Arabidopsis thaliana: one gene and its partners. The protein of the gene in region 1 purifies or fractionates together with the protein of each later gene. This does not show direct contact. Each region holds a gene or a part of one and is shown in the gene's direction. Other genes may lie near its edges. The genes, in order: PCNA2, BTF3, CRT1b and AT1G32880.

Region 1 (5,049 bases):
TCTGTTGTCACTGGTGCTTGAACCGCTTTCTTTGGACGAACTAACTGCACCCATTCTCTGAGGGTCCATTGATGGGTAAAATGGTCTGTCTTGATGAGGAGGTTGTGGTGGTGGTGGGTGCATATAGTATTGTAGCATTGGTGGAGGTTGATTCTGTTGCTGAGATATAACTGCTCGAGGTAGTAAACCACTATGAGCCACACTGCCCTGTTGGTTAGAACCATCTTGATCAGGTTTGGGAACCTGAGGTCTTCCCCATGTGAGTTTTAGCCTCTGACCGTTGACAACTAGCCTGTTACTGAGCTCTTCTGCAGCTTTCTCTGCTCCTTCTCGGGTTGTGTAAGTGACAAACGCACATGCTTTCTCAGCCAAGATTCTGATGGATTCGATTTCTCCATGGGCGTAGAATTGATCACGAATGTCTTGCTCAAGGACTCTCGAGTTTAGCCCACCAACATAAAGCGTTCTGATGCTTTGATCCTCTGGAGATTCCAAAGTACCCATCTCCCCAGCCTTGCCAAGTAACTTCAACGCAACTGGATCGTTTACACTGCAGGAAGTGAAGAATAAGATGAGAAAACAGTTCCAATATCACCAAAATAACAGCCAGTTTACGCACACAAACTGATGTATTTTTCATAACTCTCTTTCATGATATACCAAAGCAAGAAATTGAGGAGTAACTCAATATTATCATACTCAAACAAAATGAAAGTTAGAAGTATGCTTACCCATAATAACGGTCTTTAATGTTCTGCTGGGATAACTCTCCTGTTTCAGGCATCTCATGACGGTATGGACACTCATCACCTCTTGTACACTCTCCCCTAATGAAGAAACTACAAATATGAGCTCGGTTCCTTTTGTAGTAAGGCGTTGTCCTTTGAAGCATACGAATGGTATCGTTGGGCCGAATCTTCCCAAAAGAAGACTCATAATCTAGTCCAGCTCTCGTCTACACAAGAAAACAAAACCATTTCAATAGGCCATTACAAAGTAGAGAAACTGTATAGCCAAATCTCAAACCAATCAATACTCAAATAATATAACTAGTTAGAACGCAGAGTCACCATACCTTTCGATCATGCTCTTCAGCGAAAAACTCTCGGTTCACATCACTTTTTGGGATAGAATCATGAGTACTAATGTTGAGCGCCGTGTCTCTGACCTGAACTGGAAGACCATACTCAAGATCCAAGAGACAAACTTGGCACACATTCTTCAACTTGCAACATGTCTGACAAACTTCAGTCTTCTTGTATCTCGCATCCCTACCAGGTCGCCATCTGAAAACCGTGAAAGGCCGGGTACAGATCTTACACTCTTTATCGTAATTCGCCTTTGTCTACATACCAAACAACAACAATAAATCAATCAATCAATCAAACATGAAGCTGCACATCACTACCAGACATAACATGAGACAGTATTCAATGAATTACATTCCCTCTAAGCAAATTTGATCAGAACAAACCAAAGATATCATTTTGAACTACAACTCCATGAATTCTGATTTTTACCAAAGGTTATGAATTGTATATTAAATCGCTTAAACCCTAAAATCTCAAATCACTAAAATTGCAGCTTCAACACTAAGAAACATAAAAGCATTAAACAAGCTCGAAAATGGACAAATGAAAGGAGATCTTAATAAAGACACATGAATGTTAAAAAAAAATCTAGCTAAAGGCAAGGAAATCGAATTTGTTTGAGGAGAAACATAGGAAGCGAAGAATATACCATTCTCACGTAAGGATTGTCACCGAGACAAGACTCACAGATGATTGGGAAATCAGAACGTTCCCATCCATCAGCCTCGTGATCTCTCAGTATTCTATGCGCCATTTCCTAATTCTCTTCCTTCCTCAATGATTTCTGGATTTCTTCTTCAGTCTCGAACACGAAGATTACCTTGAAGAGCAGATTTGCTCTCGTTTCGATTTTTTCGGGAATCTTTAATATTACAGCTGCTGTTGGGCCGAATGTTTGTTTGGCCCAATTTAAACCCATGAAATAAGAAAGCTTAAAGTGATGGTGGTGTACTGAAATAAACAATACGGACTCACACAGATGATAATTCATCGTCACACACAGGCGGGAACAAAAATACCCTAAAATCGCTAAATGGCGCCACAAAATCTCAGCTTATAATATCACTTCCCGCTAACAATTGCAATCTCCTCCCAGAAATTTCAACAGCTCTAAAAACCCTAACCGTTTCGATTCACACTCTAACCTTTCGATAATTTCCCAGAAGATGTTGGAGCTTCGTTTAGTTCAAGGTTCTCTACTGAAGAAGGTTCTAGAAGCGGTCAAAGATCTGGTGAACGATGCGAACTTCGACTGTTCGACCACAGGGTTCTCGCTTCAAGCTATGGATTCGAGCCATGTCGCGTTGGTGTCTCTTTTGCTTAGATCTGAAGGTTTCGAGCACTATAGATGCGATAGGAACCTCTCTATGGGAATGAATCTTGGTAATATGTCTAAGATGCTGAAATGTGCTGGAAATGATGATATCATCACCATCAAAGCTGATGATGGTAGCGACACTGTTACTTTCATGTTTGAGAGTCCCAGTAAGTTCTTCAAATCGATTTTTGTTTGTTAGGGCTTTGGTTTTGTTGTCAATGTTGATGCTATTGGTGACCTGATTCTGTGTTTATAGGTTTGATTTGCCAGAAGCTAGAATATGATTGTAGAGAATGATTCAGTCCATTTCTTGAAAGCTTTAGTTTGTAAGAGATGAAAGAGAAGATAAAATCTATGTTAATAGAGGGTTTTTGGTTTGGAATAAGGTTTGATATGGCTTTGTTTTTGTGTAGTTAATGATGTTATTAGTGATCTGAACTGTTATTTATAGGTTTCATTTGACAGAAACTAGAACTTGCTTGATGAGAATGAGTCCTTCCATTTTTGTTTTCAGAATAGGTATAGTCTCTAGCTTAAAGACTATAGTTTGAAAGTGAATAGAGTTTCTTGATTTAGTGAAAGTTAACAGAGGAACTTTGTTTGATATTGACTATGTGGTGTTAATCTCATTATTTAAATGGTGTTGATGATGCAGCACAAGACAAGATTGCAGATTTTGAGATGAAGCTGATGGATATCGACAGTGAGCATTTAGGAATTCCTGATGCTGAGTACCACTCGATTGTGAGAATGCCTTCTGGTGAATTTTCCAGGATATGCAAAGATCTCAGTAGCATTGGTGACACAGGTAAATGAACTGTTTGTTTATTTGGTGTATCACTGCGAGGATTCTCTAATCATGATTCTGGTTTTGATGTTATGATTTTGCAGTTGTGATCTCGGTAACAAAAGAAGGGGTGAAGTTTTCAACAGCAGGTGATATCGGGACAGCAAACATTGTGCTCAGGCAGAATACTACCGTCGACAAAGTATGAACAATCACTAGTCATCTAGAGAGATTTGTTTAATAATCTGTCCAATACAATGTTGAAGTGACCTTATGTTTGTATGTGTGTTTTGCAGCCTGAAGATGCTATTGTGATAGAGATGAACGAGCCTGTTTCGCTTTCATTTGCATTGAGGTACATGAACTCCTTCACAAAGGCTACTCCATTGTCGGAAACTGTGACCATCAGTTTGTCCTCTGAGTTACCGGTCGTGGTGGAGTACAAGGTGGCTGAGATGGGTTACATTCGATACTATCTGGCGCCTAAGATTGAAGAAGAAGAAGACACCAAACCAGAATAATGATGAATGTTTGATAGTCTTCGTTCGAGTCCTTTGTTGAAATGTCTGTCTTGATTCAGTTGTTTTCTGGATTTACTATCTTAAGGCAATGCTAAACTAGATAATCGTATGATGTTTGTCTTTCTGAAATTTGGAAAAGCTTGTTTATAACACTTTTCATCTGTTTGTTAAACATTGAAGAAAAAGAAGACACGAAGCCCTAAAACACGTTTGTTTGTGGCTTCTGCAACCTCACGAACTAGTGTTGATTGATGTTTTTGGATGCTTTTACAATTTGTAAAAAACATGTTTAACACTCTTTACTTCTGTTTGTTCTTAAATTTGGCAAAAACAACAAAAAATTTGAACTTTCAAGACACAAGAATTTGTCTGCGTGAGAAATAGACTCGAGAACAATGAAGTAAGACGAGAAGTGTAACAATTAATATCACATGTGCATTTTGTTTAGAGAGATAGCTTCCAATCTTCTCCAGCATACACTGCTTGATCCCCAAGCTCTTCCTCTATCCGTAGCAACTGCAGGAACATTTCAACAGTGATTCAGCTTTTTAATAAAGTAGTTTCTACAATGAAATGAGAACACTATCTAGCAACTAAATGTACATGGCTGCTCCAAACTCAATCATTATGGATCTATAAGCTGAGGCTGCATTAGCCAAAAGTTGAAGAAACTGAAACTTAGCCTAGGTTGCTAAAGATTCACATACCACAACATAACTCAGCTACTTAAAAGCTAAAAAGAAGCTGATGATAATCTGATGAAAGAGCTATGATCCAAAATTCCAATGCAGGTTACTCCACGTAATGTAGATTGTTCTAGTGTAATTGCATAAGGGGTACTGAGGATATTAGTTTGGAAAAAGATCCAGACCTGGTTATACTTCATAGTACGTTCTCCTCTGCAAGGAGCACCAGCTTTAATCACACCTGTTGCGAGACCCACAGATAAGTCAGAGATGAAAGAGTCCTCTGTTTCTCCACATCTATGAGATGTCACCACACCCCACTGGGCATCCCTTGCCATTTTCACTACTTCAATGGCTTCTGTTACTGTACCAATCTGATTCACCTGTATCACCGTATGCACATTATGTCTTTGTCGTTCTTAGGCAGTAAACATACAATATGTGCACAGGTAATACATAGTAATAAACAAAATAGGACGGACGAAATACCTTGAGAAGAAGAGCATTACAAGAAGACTCCTGTATGGCACGCTCAACTCGTTTTGAATTTGACATCAACAAATCGTCACCTACCACCTACAAGAGTTTAACACTGAGAATTTAGACAAGGAAAATGATTGTACAAGAAGATTTAAGGGTCTCTCTC
Region 2 (5,030 bases), on another chromosome or scaffold:
GTCACTGCATAATTTGTAACTACCACTTACTTGCTTGTGTTTGAAAATCACATCTCATCCAATCATCGATGATGAAAAAGAATGTGTCGTCTTCTATCGCAAAAATGCTCCACTAGGCTAATGTTTGTTTATTTGAGTCTTCTAAAGGTTTGTCACAGTCTTCACCAAACCACTAGGCTTATATTTTATTCGAATCCGTACTCTTCTTATGGATGGTACGGAGTACGGACACCTGGCTGATGGAGCTAATTTGGTAACTCACAGCTGCGAACCGGAATTTGGTCCGGTTTAATTGCAATAGGCCAATAACGTAACGATGGAAAAGTAAGCGAAATGGGCGGAGAGTGAGGTGACTATTTTATTTAGGCCCATGGGCCAGGATCCATAAACTGAATAACAAAATATCCGACACCGATTCAGATCGCCGGCGGATATTCAGATCTCCTCCACATTACATTCTCCAAGGAATTTAACCTTTACCTACAAATCTAAGCTTCTGTCGTTGACTTCGAAAACTGATATCTATAAGTCAAAATCCCCATTCTCAATCGCTCATCGTCTTGTAGAACTAATTGACTAAACAATGGCGGACAACACAGGATCCGGTACGTCCATCTCTCTATTTTATGTCTGAATATAATGTTTCATGTCTATATACGGAGTTTTGTGGAATTGAATTTAGATTTTCGTGGAAATTTTGGAACCCTAGGTCTTTGATCCCTCGTAATTCTGTGCAGAGATGAAATCAGGTTCGTTTATGTTAGAGAAATCCGCCAAGATCTTTGTCGCTGGACATAGGGGATTGGTTGGATCTGCCATTGTCCGCAAGCTCCAGGATCAGGGTTTCACCAATTTGGTCCTTCGAACCCATTCAGAGCTTGATCTCACTAGCCAATCAGATGTTGAATCTTTCTTTGCTACAGAGAAACCAGTTTATGTCATCCTAGCTGCTGCTAAAGTCGGTGGGATTCATGCTAACAACACATACCCAGCTGATTTCATTGGGGTCAATCTCCAAATCCAGACCAATGTGATCCACTCTGCTTATACACACGGTGTGAAGAAACTCCTCTTCCTTGGTTCATCTTGCATTTACCCCAAATTTGCTCCTCAGCCGATTCCCGAATCTGCGCTTCTTACCGGTCCGCTCGAACCGACAAACGAATGGTATGCGATCGCCAAGATCGCGGGTATTAAGATGTGTCAAGCTTACCGGCTTCAGCATCAGTGGGATGCTATCTCCGGTATGCCCACGAATCTGTATGGTCAGAATGATAATTTCCACCCGGAGAATTCCCATGTGCTGCCTGCTCTCATGAGGAGGTTTCATGAAGCCAAAGCCAATAATGCTGACGAAGTTGTGGTTTGGGGAAGTGGAAGCCCGTTGAGGGAGTTTTTACATGTCGATGATTTGGCTGATGCTTGTGTTTTCTTGATGGATCAGTACAGCGGATTTGAGCATGTGAATGTAGGAAGTGGTGTTGAAGTGACGATCAAAGAATTGGCTGAGTTGGTGAAAGAAGTTGTTGGGTTTAAAGGAAAGCTTGTTTGGGATACCACAAAACCAGACGGGACACCAAGGAAACTGATGGATAGCTCGAAGCTTGCGTCTTTGGGATGGACACCGAAGATTTCGCTTAAAGATGGCCTCTCCCAAACTTATGAATGGTATTTGGAAAATGTTGTGCAGAAGAAGCAGTAAAAAAAACAAGGTCCAAAACACAAAGCAATATTCATTCTCTTTACACGTGAATGTTTATGCGTTTGATTTTTGGTTCTATACAGATCTCTCTATCTCTTTTATGTAATTTTTGTATTCATGGATTTCATACAGTTCAAGTTAAGCAAACTTACTTTGTAATAAATGTACCATTGTTGTTGAGATTATCAATAATCGAATAGCTTTCTTCTCTAAATTTTAGTCAACTAAACAAGTCTGTTCATTGATAAACTCATTTAGATAAATTTGTGGATTTTGAAATTCTGGTAACCAAAAGATTATGGTTTGCTACGCGCTAATACTGGTGATTGATTACGGCACAAAAGAGCCCAGTAAATAATTATTGGCCCAGTTTAGTTTTGGGCCTTATGGGCCAATATTATCATCGAGCATCCAACGGTAGTGATGGAGATTTCTTTATGGAATATCTGATATCCACCGTTAGATTAAGAGACGAGGTTGGCTCCGAATAGCATATAGTTAAAGGGCAAAACCCTGCGCCGCCCGCGTCTCTCCTCTCTCTGTTTCTTTTCTTTTTGTTTCATTTTCTTATCTCCTCACACTCTTCGAACAAGGAAGAACCCTAATCTCAAGGTAAATTCATTATCACTGTAATTTTCCTTTCTATTAGTGTTTTATCTCTCCGGTTCTAGGGTTTCTCTAATCCCCGATTTTGCAAAATGTCAGATATCTTTCTTTCTTGATTCATTTCGCTTCTTTCTGTAGATAGGATTAGTTTTTGTCGGTGTTTGGGAATTTACTGGGTTTTCAACTTCTCTGTGTGTTTGATTGGGGGATTTGGTATACCTAATCGATTGAAAATGATTAAATTTAGGTTAAAACTACTAGTCACATCACCGTGTCTTCATACGCATCTGAGTTTAAATCTGTTCGCGCTTACTTTCTTCTCACTAGTTTCTTGTATAATAAGAAGTTTTTGTGAATGTATTATTAGCAGTTAATGTGTTCATTGATTCTTTTGGAAGTGATTTGGGGATTGATGGATTTTGCTTCTTATTATGGTTTATACACAGATGAATAGGGAGAAGTTGATGAAGATGGCTAATACCGTCCGCACTGGCGGAAAGGGTACTGTCAGAAGGTATAGAGTTTTATTCAACCAATTTCATTGTTCAATACTTAGCATTTACTATGATTTGTGTTATGAAACCATTCGATTTTTACTTGCAGAAAGAAGAAGGCTGTGCACAAGACCAATACAACTGATGACAAGAGGCTTCAAAGCACTCTTAAGAGAATTGGAGTTAACTCCATTCCCGCTATTGAAGAAGTTAACATCTTTAAGGATGATGTTGTTATTCAGTTCATCAACCCTAAGGGTAAGTCATTTTTAACCATTTTTTATCTATACATCAGAACCTTTTTTTCATGTTACTGATCATTGTTCCTCCTTTGAATGTTACTACAGTTCAAGCTTCAATTGCTGCAAACACATGGGTTGTTAGCGGTTCTCCTCAGACCAAAAGTATTGCATCTCATAATATCTCTTAATCTCTACTTTCTTGTTTCTTCTTCATTTCATCTTCTCTGATTAATGTAAACGTGTTGCTTCCTGCAGAATTGCAAGATATCCTTCCTCAGATCATCAGCCAACTTGGTGTGTACCATGTAACTGTACAGCTCTTAAATGTTCTTCATCGATCCTAAGGTCTCTAACTTTATGTTACTTTGATCTCTTTCAGGACCAGACAACATGGACAACCTGAAGAAGCTAGCAGAACAGTTCCAGAAACAGGCTTCTGGTGAAGGTAATGCCGCCTCAGCAACCATACAAGAAGAGGATGATGACGATGTCCCAGAGCTTGTTGGAGAGACATTCGAAACTGCTGCTGAAGAGAAAGCACCAGCTGCTGCTGCTTCTTCTTAGAGAGAAAAGAGCGAGACCACATCCAAAAAAAAACCGCACTTTGATTTTTACATATCTTTATAATATGTTTGTTCGCTCGATCCTTTTTGTAGTTTCCGACCAGAATCTTGTTTTCCATCTAATGACTTAAGGTTTTTATCCAATTATTTGATGTCTTATTGATTCTTTGACAGCAAATCAGGTCCTCGTCTTCTTCTTCCTCTTCACTATGTGGATTAGAAGATTTTGATGTGACACATTGTCTTGTTGCATAAAAACCATTCCACCTGTACTGTATGAGTTTCTTCTCAAACTTTCCAGACATTTCATCACTTTCTCTACAAATTCTCTCTCAGAGACATGTCTATTCGTCGTCAAATCTCAATCTTTCTGAGTTTTCGTAAACCATGGCTTCTCTCTTTGTTTCTACTCCATCATCTTCCTTAACTCTTAAATCCTGTCACAGTTTGCATCTTCGTCGCTTTGACAGAGCAGAATTTTCGAACTTTGGGAAAGCTTCTGTGAATCAGACAACGAGAAGCAGACATTCTTTGAGATGTTCAGCGGAAGATGATCGCGTTCGTGAACCTGTGAACGAAGCTCCTTCTCCGGTGGCGTTAGCGGAGGAGCAAAAAGAAGACCACGATAACAATAATGCGCCGCCTTCTCCAGAGAGCAGTGAAGAAGAGGAGGAAAAGAAGTCGAAGCAGCAAGAGATGGATTGGAAAACAGACGAGGAGTTCAAGAAGTTTATGGGGAATCCATCTATCGAAGCTGCGATAAAGCTTGAGAAGACGAGAACTGATCGTAAGCTCAAGGAGCTGAACAAGGAAAGCAACAGTGAGAATCCGATCATTGGAATTTACAACAGCTTGGCTCGTGATAGTTTGACTAAAGAGAAAGAAAGGCTTGAGAAAGCAGAAGAGACTTTCAAGGCTCTTGATCTCAACAAGGTAAAAAAATGAATTCATTTCTCTTATGCTATGATTCTTCTTTGTTTTGTTGGAATGCATTGTTTTTGAAAGTGGTTTGTGATGATGGGACAGTTGAAGAGCTGTTTTGGGTTCGATACATTTTTCGCTACGGATGTTCGCCGGTTTGGAGATGGAGGAATCTTCATTGGGAACCTGAGAAAACCCATTGATGAAGTCACACCTAAGCTTGAAGCTAAGCTATCTGAAGCAGCTGGGCGTGATGTTGTTGTGTGGTTTATGGAAGAAAGGTCCAATGAGATCACAAAGCAGGTAGAAGAAAGCTTTGAAAACTCTTTAACTTTGATGTTCTTTGATCTCAGGATTTAAGCTAATTGTGAATTGTTTGTTATTTGTGCTTTTAAAGGTGTGTATGGTGCAGCCGAAGGCGGAAATTGATCTACAGTTTGAATCAACTAGATTAAGCACTCCTTGGGGATATGTTAGTGCAATTGCTTTATGTGTTACAACC
Region 3 (7,455 bases), on another chromosome or scaffold:
CCACTTCTGGGTTTCTTCTCCTTCATCAGAAGCAAAACTCTGGGAAACTTTTTCTATTCAATCCTCTGCTTCGATGCTATTCTCTTGGCGAAACCCCTCTTCATGCTTACTTCCTCTACGACCAACTCCAACGACTCCATTTCTTGTCTGATCACAATAAGAGTCTGCCTCCTTTTGATAGTTTCACTTACCTCTTTCTCCTGAAAGCGAGTTCGAATCCGCGGTTCCCATCTTTACTACTGGGAATTGGACTCCACGGGTTGACTCTAAAACTGGGTTTTGAATCTCATGTCTACGTGCAGACAGCTTTGGTTGGTATGTATCTTGTTGGTGGAAACATGATTGATGCTCACAAAGTGTTTGATGAAATGCCTGAGAGAAATCCGGTAACTTGGAATGTGATGATCACTGGCCTTACTAATTTGGGAGATTTCGAAAAAGCTCTTTGCTTTTTGGAGAAGATGCCGAATCGGACGGTAGTGTCTTGGACCACTATCATTGATGGGTATGCACGAGTAGATAAACCCAAGGAAGCTATACTCTTGTTTTCAAGAATGGTTGCTTGCGACGCAATAAAGCCCAACGAGATAACCATTCTCGCCATTCTCCCAGCTGTTTGGAACTTGGGAGACTTAAAGATGTGCGGATCAGTTCATGCTTATGTTGGGAAAAGAGGGTTTGTTCCATGTGATATCCGTGTGACTAACTCTCTCATCGACGCTTATGCAAAATGTGGGTGTATTCAAAGCGCGTTCAAGTTTTTCATAGAGATTCCAAACGGAAGGAAGAATCTTGTATCGTGGACAACGATGATCTCGGCGTTTGCAATTCACGGAATGGGAAAAGAAGCGGTCAGTATGTTTAAAGACATGGAAAGATTAGGATTGAAGCCGAACAGAGTGACCATGATCAGTGTTTTGAACGCTTGCAGCCATGGAGGTTTAGCAGAAGAAGAGTTTCTAGAGTTTTTCAACACGATGGTAAACGAGTACAAGATCACGCCGGATGTGAAGCACTATGGATGTCTAGTAGATATGTTGAGAAGAAAAGGAAGATTAGAAGAAGCAGAGAAGATTGCTTTGGAGATTCCAATAGAAGAAAAAGCTGTGGTTTGGAGAATGCTGCTTGGAGCTTGTAGCGTTTATGATGATGCTGAATTGGCTGAGAGGGTTACTAGAAAGCTAATGGAGCTAGAGAGAAGCCATGGAGGAGACTATGTGCTTATGTCCAACATCTTTTGTGGTACTGGAAGATTTTTAGATGCGCAGAGATTTCGGAAACAGATGGATGTTAGAGGAGTAGCTAAACTTCCAGGACATTCACAAGTAACATAGCGGAGCATGTATATATTTATGACTCCAATCTTTATTGTTTTGATGATAAACTTCAGAATTTTTGGGAGCTCTGTTCTGATCCTCAATGTTTTGATCATAAACTCCCAAAAGGTGTTTTCTATTCTGAATGGTTTTATTGGATTATAAAGAAACGCAAACCTAATCAAGAAGACCAAGTTCATAATTCATTGTCATAATAACTTCACAAGAAAAAAGGAAAACATGAGAGCATTGCTGGGTGCAAGTTTGATAGATAATAAAAGAAAAAGCGATGAGAATCTGCAACAAGGGTTTTTGATGATTCCTCTTCTGAAGACCCAAGCTTATGAAATCTTGTTCATAGACCACTGGGGGTTGCATGTGTTTCTGTGCTGCGCTTGGATTCTCCTGAAGATGGGTCAGCACCGAATCTGTGAGGATGATCTGTTTCTTGCATCCCCTTTTCCTAAACCCTAAATCCTAAACTCCCAATCTTCAATGAGTTTTGATCATAAACTCCTAAAGTTTGGTGAGCTCTCTAATGAAGTCTCAGTTAGCTGAGATTACAGTGACAAAGATGTGTAAAATACAATGGAGCTCAAATCATTCAAAGAGATTAAAAAAGACTAAATGGATCAATGAGTAACAAGAACATGCATAAAAATAGTTCATTTTTTGAAAAAACTTTGCTTCAATGGGTGTCATTATCAAATTTGAATCCAAGTCAGATTTTGAGTAGCTTTTACGCTAATCTTCTTCACACAAAAAAACCATCAACACAAAAAGATTTATAATTTAAAATTTTATCGGCCCAAAATACACACATCAATCTTCCTCTCGGCCCACGCTTTTAGAATTTTTGTAGATTTAAAAATTCAGTTGGAATCTAACGGCTGAGATCACGTTTAATCCAACAAACCAAGCTATATATTTACTAAAACACCCGAGAGATCTGCTTCTTTTGTTTACTCTACTCTCCACGAGAAGCACACTTGTTTTTTGTTTATATCACCGCACCAACCGCTAATATCTTTACACGTGTCAAATCTTTTGCTTAAGGCTAATTATGCACAGCCTTCTTTCTCCCGTTTTATCCAATACTATAACGACATGTCATTCTCAATGACAAATGTATCTGACGTGTCGGTTACCTATTGGATTACGTGGCTGCAGATTTACACGACGTAGCCTAAAATAAAATCCATGAGAGCAAAGCTCACTTGCTAGCTCCTCTCCTCGCGGTATATATAAGCTCCAGGTCTTGTACATCTTCATCATCTGATCTCGGGGAAGCTCCGATCTGAGTTTTTTTTAGCAATGGCGAAAATGATTCCTAGCCTCGTCTCTCTAATTCTTATCGGTCTTGTTGCGATCGCCTCCGCCGCAGTTATTTTCGAGGAGCGCTTTGATGGTATCTAATTTCTACATCTCTATCTCTATACTCTATCTTCCTGATGATGCGTCTGTTTGTGTTCTGGCTTGCGATCTATTTCTTCAATTTGAGTTTTAATGTGATTTATGCTACGAGTTTAAGATCCATGCTACGATATCCTCGTTTTCATCTGATAGTTTGTTCTCAAATGTTGGATCAGGATTATTATGGATCTATGAATTTGTTGATTTTGGTTTGTCTGGGGTTTTTGATTTCTAAATTATAATTGGAGATCCCAGGAAATGACCTCCAACTTTTGGTGATTAATACTTTTCGTGTAGATGTTTGGGAGATCAAGTTTTTAACGATGATGAAAATTCTGAGATGATAGTTAGCATATGATTCCTTTCTGGTTCGACACTAGTTTACTAATTTCAATGATGAATATGTTCAGTGAAGCCCGCTCTTGAGTTTGTTTAGTCGACTTTTCTGATTTGAAATACTAAAAAATATTATATGGTTTGTTCAATTCGTGTTTCTTGTGTTGGATTGTCTTGTTGTTCTTAACTTAGTATATAATCTTGTGATTCTTCTTGTCTGATGTCTGTCTTGATTTGTTATCTTTGTTATTTCCATTTCTAAAGATGGCTGGGAGAACAGATGGGTTAAATCTGAGTGGAAGAAGGATGATAACACTGCTGGGGAGTGGAAGCACACTGCGGGAAATTGGTCTGGTGACGCTAACGATAAAGGTATGATTCAGCCTTCAGAGCTAATCACAGAATCATTATTTATTGTTTTACAAGCTTGTGCTAATGCGTTGTTGCAATTGCCATTGTCTGGCAGGTATCCAGACCAGTGAAGACTACAGATTCTACGCCATTTCAGCTGAGTTCCCTGAATTCAGTAACAAGGACAAGACCTTAGTCTTCCAATTCTCAGTCAAGCACGAGCAAAAGCTTGACTGCGGTGGTGGCTACATGAAGCTACTAAGTGGTGATGTTGACCAAAAGAAATTTGGTGGAGACACACCATACAGGTACAAATCCTATCTCATCTCACTCTTATCATCTCAACCTATTATCAATTAACATCAATGTTTAAAAATAACAACCCATCTGCTTTTTTACCTGCAGTATCATGTTTGGTCCTGATATCTGTGGCTACAGCACAAAGAAAGTGCATGCTATCCTTACCTATAATGAAGCCAACCACCTGATCAAGAAAGATGTTCCATGTGAAACTGACCAGCTCACCCATGTGTACACATTTATCCTCCGCCCAGATGCTACTTACAGCATTCTCATCGACAATGTTGAGAAACAAACTGGTAGCCTTTACTCTGACTGGGATCTTCTCCCACCCAAGAAGATCAAGGACCCCAGCGCCAAGAAGGTATTCTATTTCTTATGAACAACCAGGCTAAACTGAGAACCAACCACTTATACTCAATTTTGGAGCAAACTAGAACTAACCACAAACCATACCAAAGCTCTCTGATGAACTTGGTTGATTATACCTGAGATACCATCCATCATACAAATTGATCCTTTTATTTATTTGTACAGCCTGAGGACTGGGACGAACAAGAATACATTTCTGACCCTGAAGACAAGAAACCTGACGGTTACGATGATATCCCTAAGGAGATCCCAGACACCGACTCAAAGAAGGTTCATACTTGTCTATAATTGATGTAAAATCTAAAATCTCTTGCTGTGTTCCGTATTTGCTGATTTTTCGTTGTCCTTTCTCTTAGCCTGAGGACTGGGATGATGAAGAAGATGGTGAGTGGACTGCCCCAACAATCCCCAACCCTGAGTACATGGGTGAATGGAAGCCTAAGGTTTGTCAATTTCTATTCCAAAAAGTATCTATATCCTGGTCAACGTTTTTCTTCCTCTCAAGGCTGTCAAATATTTTTGTAGCAAATCAAGAACCCCAACTACAAGGGCAAGTGGGAGGCTCCATTGATTGACAACCCTGGTACATTACTACTCTCTGTGGCCATATTATCCATGTTGCATGTAATTTGTGGTTCAACTTCTGTTCTTTGTTGTTTGATGGTCGTTTCTGGTATGCCTAAATCTTCTCCAGTTAGATTTCTCTTGACTAAGTAGAAGGACTATCTAAGTCTAAGGCCTAAGGGTTCATTTAAACTCAAATGCTGAAGTAATCCTTTACTTCCAAAAGGTTTATTGGCGTCTCTATGTTTAGTGGTTTAACCTATTAAATAGAAACATGTTTGTAACTAACCTGGTTTTTCTTTTATCTTCTCTATCATTAAATCCATGGTCACACCAGTTTGACACATTTAGTAATCTATATCTTTTGTTCACCTTTATTTACACTTTTATATCATGTTCATTTGGATGTAACTGTAGAACTCGCAACTTTTTGTTTTTTATGCTTGCATTAACTTACATGAAAATTTAGCTCTCTTAGACATAATAATAAACAATTAGTGTGCCTAAAATAAACTGATTACCGCAGACTTCAAGGATGACCCAGAGCTCTACGTCTTCCCCAAGCTGAAATATGTTGGACTCGAATTGTGGCAGGTAAATAAATCTTTGTCACTTTGAATGACCTTCGAAGATATGCTTTATTCCCATGACTCTCATCTAATACATGTTACTCTTCCAGGTGAAATCAGGATCATTGTTCGACAATGTCTTGATCTGCGATGACCCAGACTATGCCAAGAAGTTGGCAGATGAAACATGGGGAAAGCTCAAGGATGTAGGTGTTTAAAATACCCAATTTCATAACACAGTTTTTTTTTTTTTGTTTCTGGTTACTGATCAGAATATCCAATCTAATATCACATTGCAGGCGGAGAAAGCAGCTTTCGATGAGGCTGAGAAGAAGAATGAGGAAGAGGTAAATATCTCTCCTAATTATTTAGCTTAATTCATTTGAATCTCTCTAAAACAAGTAGTTTGGACTTTTGTGGAGTTTCTACTGCCAATTATGTAATTGTTGTAACCAAGTTGGGAATAGATAATCTAAGACGGCATTCTCCTTTTTCTGTGTTGATACAGGAATCCAAGGACGCACCTGCGGAATCTGATGTAAGCACTTGTGAAGGATCAAATTTTTTAGAGTCTTGTTTGTTTCTGTCAAGGTCCTAATATTATATGTGATATAAATTCCAGGCTGAAGACGAACCAGAGGATGATGAAGGAGGAGATGATTCCGATTCTGAATCTAAGGCCGAGGAGACCAAATCAGTAGATAGCGAGGAAACCTCTGAGAAAGACGCCACCGCTCATGTATGCTACCACAATATCACTTGGAGAAATTTCACTCATCCATAATTTTGTTGTTTTCCTTGAGTTGTGGTTAAAACTGCGTGATTTGGTTTTGCAGGATGAGCTATAGGTGAAAGGTTGAAGATTTGAAGACCAAAGTTTTCAGTCTCTTTATTGTTTTATCGTTTTCTTTTGAAGTATTTTAGCATCTAGTTTGTCGGAGATAGAAACAAGTTTTAGCAAAACTAAAAGGGGGATACAATGTCTGTCAGATGCTCATTTTAGACTTTAAAAAACCATGAAGAAGTTTTGCAGTTGCTTCTCTTTCTCTACTCTTGTTTCTCTGCTAAGCCAATGTCCGCCAAAATCGGATTCTGGTGTATTCGTTCACTGCTCCCCACCCTTTGAGAATTTGTTGTTAGTCTCTTGTCAGTCAATACAGACCACCAAGTCCATAATCCAACAGTCCAACGTCCCTGCAAGTTGATTGATACTAGAGTAGTAGTAATGTAGAATGTCTTTCACTTTCCAAACAATTTCCACATTGTCTATACACTTATACTGGGTTCACTTCCATTGTGAAGACAGATGTTGAGATAACAAAAATTATATAGAGATAATTGTACCCCAACCACAGATGCTTAGAACGCTAGAGAACGAATGCAGTGCAATCTTTGTTTTACCTTAACCTTAGACAGCAATATTTTAATTCATGATGTCATTCTCAAAAGATGAAGTCACAATCTTTATACAAAACAGCGTCCTAGCATATTGAGATGGTATTTAAGCCCAGAAAAAGCTGATTGAGAACCAAAAAAAGAAAAACAATTACGCAGGCCCTATTAAGTAATGGGCTTGGTTTTTTGGTAAAGATAATATATTTAGATTATTTCTTTTATTTCTATTGGTCTTCGTACCTTCACGCGGATCAGTGTTAGAAAAGAATGAAATCTGTCCGTAGAATTGTATTAATCTACGGTTGCTGTGATTTCACGCGGATCGTGATAGAAACCTCTTATATCCGTTGATTAAAAACCAATGAACGATCCAGATCTAATCCCGCTGAAAAAGAAAAGCGAAATATTTTCCCTCCCACTTCTTGTAATTTCCAGACGATAAATATCCCCTTCCTCAATCGAAACAAACTATCCAGATCTCAACTTTCTCTCATCTTCAAATTAAAATCAAACAGTTTCTTAATAACATTTTACTTCATGGCTCGTACCAAGCAGACGGCTAGGAAATCAACCGGAGGAAAGGCTCCAAGGAAGCAGCTGGCGACAAAAGCGGCGAGGAAATCTGCTCCGGCCACCGGAGGAGTGAAGAAGCCACACAGATTCAGACCCGGAACTGTTGCTTTAAGAGAAATCAGGAAGTACCAGAAGAGCACTGAGCTTCTTATCCGTAAACTCCCTTTCCAGAGGCTTGTCAGAGAGATCGCTCAGGACTTCAAAACCGATCTTCGTTTCCAGAGCAGTGCCGTCGCCGCTCTTCAGGAAGCTGCTGAAGCTTACCT
Region 4 (3,880 bases), on another chromosome or scaffold:
CAATGCCGAAGGACAAATCTCCGGGACCAGATGGTTATACCACAGAGTTCTATAAGGCAACATGGGCTACCATAGGACTTGAATTCATTTTGGCAGTTCAATCTTTTTTTCTAAAAGGTTTCCTTCCAAAAGGAATAAACTCAACTATTTTAGCTCTGATTCCAAAGAAGCTAGAAGCTAAGGAAATGAAGGATTATAGACCTATTTCATGCTGCAACGTAATCTATAAGGTAATTTCTAAGATCATTGCTAACAGATTGAAAGTGCTTCTGCCAGAGTTTGTTGCGGGAAATCAGTCGGCGTTTGTAAAAGACAGATTACTCATCGAAAATCTGTTACTTGCTACGGAACTAGTCAAGGACTATTATAAAGATTAAGTCTCTACCCGTTGTGCTATTAAAATAGATATCTCGAAGGCGTTTGACTCGGTCCAATTGGCTTTTCTGCTGAATGTTTTATTGGCTATGAATTTTCCTGCGGTTTTTATACATTGGTTAAAACTGTGTATTACTACGGCCTCTTTTTCAGTCCAAGTAAATGGCGATCTCGCTGGTTATTTCCAAAGTGCAAGGGGTTTACGTCAGGGTTGCTCTCTCTCGCCATATCTGTTTGTCATAAGCATGGATGTCCTCTCAAAGATGTTGGATAAGGCTGCCGGAGCTCACAAGTTTGGTTTCCATCCTCATTGTCAACGTTTAAAGCTCACTCATCTAAGTTTTGCAGATGATTTGATGGTTCTAACGGATGGTAAGGTTAGATCCATATAGGGTATAGTGAAGGTTTTTGATGAGTTTTATAAGTACTCTGGGTTAAAAATAAGTATGGAGAAGTCGACAATGTATATGGCAGGAGTATCACCTTTAGTGAAAGCAGAGATTGCAGCTCTTTTCCCTTTTGATATAGGTCAATTGCCAGTTCGATACTTAGGTTTGCCTCTTGTTACTAAGAGACTCATGGCTGAGGATTATGATCCTCTTCTTGAGCAGATTAGGAAACGCATCGCGTCGTGGACTTCACGCTACCTCTCATATGCAGGTAGCTCAACTTGATTCAATCTATCCTCTGGAGTATTTGCAATTTCTGGCTAGGCGCTTTTCGTTTACCGAGACAGTGTATCCGAGAGATTGACAAGATTTGCTCCGCTTACCTATGGTCGGGTTTAGAACTGAGTTCAAAGAAGGCAAAGATATCGTGGGAAAAAGTTTGTAAGCCGAAAATAGAGGGGGGTTTGGGTTTGCGAAGCTTGACAAAAGCTAATGATGTTTGTTGTTTAAAGTTGGTCTGGCGAATCATTTCTAATAGCAAGTCTTTATGGGTTCAATGGGTCACCACATACCTTCTTAGGAGGAAGCATTTTTGGACATTGAAGCAGAATACAAATGCAGGCTCTTGGATTTGGAGAAAAATACTAAAGTACAGAGACAAGGCGAAATAATGTGTACAATGCATCATTCTCTACCAAAGAAACGTGGCACCATATCAGAGCTCCTTCTCCCACAGTCCCCTGGTACAACGGGGGTTGGTTCAATCACGCCACACCAAAGTTTTCGTTTTGTACTTGGCTCGCGGTCCAAGATAGGCTCTCAACAGGGGAGCATATGGTTAAATGGAACAGAGGAGAATCGGGTCTCTGTGTGTTTTGTACTAACACTATGGAAACTCGTGATCATTTGTTTTTCTCCTGCAACTATGTCTCGACAATTTGGGGTGACGTAGCTAAGAAGCTATGGAAGACCAGATTCACAAAGGAATGGCCACAAATTCTGGCCTATGTTTCAGACAAGTCATTACAGCGAGTCGATGGTTTCTTAATCCGGTATGTCTTTCAAGCTACAATACACACAGTTTGGAGAGAGAGGAATGGGCGTCGTCATGGAGAAACACCGAACACCACGTCACACTTGATAACTTGGATAGATAAGCAGGTGATCGAAGATATGACAAGGGCAACGTACAGCTCACTCTAAACATTCTCTAAACACCTTTAATTTCTAACTATTTTTTTTCTCAGCTTTTCTCATTTTGCTAAACGTTGCACGAGTTGTAAAAACGTTTTGTTTTTTTTTGAATATAATTTAACATTTTTTCAAAAAAAAAAGAAGAGTAAATCAAATCTCTCTTTTACTCTTTTTCTTGATCGATTTGAAAGATTCTTCATTCACTCGAATGTTTCTTATATTACATGTGCAGAAGATATGCGTAATGTTTCTTATATTACATGTGCAGAAGATATGCGTGGTCCTATCGAAACAGTGATACGATCTGGAGCTGTACATCGTCTCATTCAGTTTCTTCTCGATGAAAGTTTCCCTAAGCTTCAAGTTAGAAGAAAAATTTCCCCCATCAAGTTGATGTTTTTATTGATGATCAGTGTAATCTTTGATTCTGATATATATACAATGATTCAGGTGCACAACATAAAACAATTTGTCTATTTGCTATCTCACTAAACTAAACTGTTTTCCCCTGGTGATAACAGTCAGTAATCGATGCAAATTTGATTCCAACCTTGGTCAAACTGACTCAGAATGCTGAATTTGACATGAAGAAAGAATCTGTATGCGCAATTTCAAATGCGACCTTACTTGGTTCTCATGATCAAATCAAGTACGTCCCTGTCTTATTTCTTTCTTTTTGCACTTTCAACTTAACATGCTTATAGATGATCATCAAAGTCACAATCTCCATTTATTGGTGTGATTCAGATACATGGTGGAGCAGAGCTGCATCAAACCTTTATGTGATATCCTGTTTTGTCCAGATGTAAAAACCATCTTAAAGTGTCTGGATGGAATGGAAAACACATTGAAGGTTGGAGAGGCTGAAAAGAACGCAGGAGACGACGTGAGCTGGTATACTCGACTGATCGAAGCGGAAGGGCTAGATAAGATTTTGAACCTGCAAAGACACGAAAACATCGAGATCTACGACAAGGCTTTGAAGATTCTGCAGACTTACTGGCTTGAAGAGGATGATGAGGATATACAACAACCTCCAAGTTAATAATCTAGTTAAGTAACATCATTTGTTCAAATATCCTAAAAGATAAGAAAATTCTTTTGCTTATTTCTATTGGTACTTTTTTAACAATACCAGAGAAAACTTCCAAGCATAAACTGTGATACTAAACAGCTTCTGAATCTAATAATCCAAGAGAATAATTACAATGACTTGACTCTCTAATGGTTCACACAAAACCAAGCCTTTATGTCTCTTAACCTCTTGGATTTTTCGGTTCTCACCATAACAAAGGCCTCCCTGAACCTCCCATTGTTCCTATGATCACCCAAAACAAAGCACATAAAGCCCCAATGATCGATAAGCAAAAGAAACCTTTGTTCTTCTTCTTCTTCTTATCGTTGTTTCCTCCAGACTTGTTCCTCTTCACTGCTGAGTCACTATCCATAACAACAACATTATTACCTGTGCTTTTAGAAGTAAACCTGAAACGACCACCACTGGTTGACATTCTAACAAGGTTCAGCTTCACAAATGGATTCTCTGATGCATATGCTGGCTTTGCAGGAATGGATTCCAGGAAAGTCCATACACTAGAAGCAAACTTACTAGACTCGTCTTTTGACGGGTCATCTTCATTAGTTGTACTTATACCAGAAGGAACAGGGTTTAGGAATTCAGATGAATCACCTGTCAAGGGAATATGATTAGGATAAGAAGCCAGTCGCTTTCCTCACAATTAGATAGAATATTTAGTATGCGAGTGAAAAGAGGTATCTACAGGAAAATCTGTTAGTGCTTTCAAGTACCTGTACCAGGCGCCTCACCAAACCGGGTAACGGTAAGTCCGTCATTGTTTAGCTCCTGCACCCACGATGATCCATTGTTTATCTGTCTGGTATAGCTGTTACGGAGTGGCCAG

The links.
Region 2: the proteins of PCNA2 (region 1) and BTF3 fractionate together in Arabidopsis thaliana (co-fractionation; one large-scale study listed by BioGRID). This does not show direct contact.
Region 3: the proteins of PCNA2 (region 1) and CRT1b fractionate together in Arabidopsis thaliana (co-fractionation; one large-scale study listed by BioGRID). This does not show direct contact.
Region 4: the proteins of PCNA2 (region 1) and AT1G32880 fractionate together in Arabidopsis thaliana (co-fractionation; one large-scale study listed by BioGRID). This does not show direct contact.

What each region holds. Positions count from the first base shown.
Region 1 is NC_003071.7:12,648,807-12,653,855, reverse strand, and holds PCNA2 (proliferating cell nuclear antigen 2), read left to right. Parts: upstream 1-2,102; 5' UTR 2,103-2,257; coding exon 2,258-2,576; intron 2,577-3,064; coding exon 3,065-3,217; intron 3,218-3,300; coding exon 3,301-3,398; intron 3,399-3,492; coding exon 3,493-3,717; 3' UTR 3,718-3,950; downstream 3,951-5,049. Other genes in the region: MAC5B (CCCH-type zinc fingerfamily protein with RNA-binding domain-containing protein), read right to left, coding at 1-550, 732-955, 1,076-1,345, 1,741-1,845; ENOC (cytosolic enolase), read right to left, coding at 4,162-4,233, 4,589-4,786, 4,893-4,979. UniProt on the Arabidopsis thaliana protein: This protein is an auxiliary protein of DNA polymerase delta and is involved in the control of eukaryotic DNA replication by increasing the polymerase's processibility during elongation of the leading strand. May be involved in UV resistance.
Region 2 is NC_003070.9:6,151,150-6,156,179, reverse strand, and holds BTF3 (basic transcription factor 3), read left to right. Parts: upstream 1-2,197; 5' UTR 2,198-2,314; intron 2,315-2,754; coding exon 2,755-2,822; intron 2,823-2,911; coding exon 2,912-3,060; intron 3,061-3,149; coding exon 3,150-3,206; intron 3,207-3,299; coding exon 3,300-3,338; intron 3,339-3,423; coding exon 3,424-3,608; 3' UTR 3,609-3,796; downstream 3,797-5,030. Other genes in the region: GER2 (NAD(P)-binding Rossmann-fold superfamily protein), read left to right, coding at 584-605, 738-1,702; EGY3 (ethylene-dependent gravitropism-deficient and yellow-green-like 3), read left to right, coding at 3,995-4,540, 4,634-4,831, 4,926-5,030.
Region 3 is NC_003070.9:2,971,831-2,979,285, reverse strand, and holds CRT1b (calreticulin 1b), read left to right. Parts: upstream 1-2,283; 5' UTR 2,284-2,630; coding exon 2,631-2,724; intron 2,725-3,329; coding exon 3,330-3,437; intron 3,438-3,531; coding exon 3,532-3,724; intron 3,725-3,821; coding exon 3,822-4,080; intron 4,081-4,253; coding exon 4,254-4,358; intron 4,359-4,444; coding exon 4,445-4,531; intron 4,532-4,613; coding exon 4,614-4,671; intron 4,672-5,178; coding exon 5,179-5,246; intron 5,247-5,331; coding exon 5,332-5,427; intron 5,428-5,520; coding exon 5,521-5,568; intron 5,569-5,729; coding exon 5,730-5,759; intron 5,760-5,843; coding exon 5,844-5,960; intron 5,961-6,057; coding exon 6,058-6,069; 3' UTR 6,070-6,648; downstream 6,649-7,455. Other genes in the region: AT1G09220 (Pentatricopeptide repeat (PPR) superfamily protein), read left to right, coding at 1-1,334; AT1G09200 (Histone superfamily protein), read left to right, coding at 7,154-7,455. UniProt on the Arabidopsis thaliana protein: Molecular calcium-binding chaperone promoting folding, oligomeric assembly and quality control in the ER via the calreticulin/calnexin cycle.
Region 4 is NC_003070.9:11,913,051-11,916,930, reverse strand, and holds AT1G32880 (ARM repeat superfamily protein), read left to right. Parts: upstream 1-2,195; coding exon 2,196-2,321; intron 2,322-2,479; coding exon 2,480-2,607; intron 2,608-2,705; coding exon 2,706-3,003; downstream 3,004-3,880. Other genes in the region: NAC13 (NAC domain protein 13), read right to left, coding at 3,239-3,648, 3,768-3,880.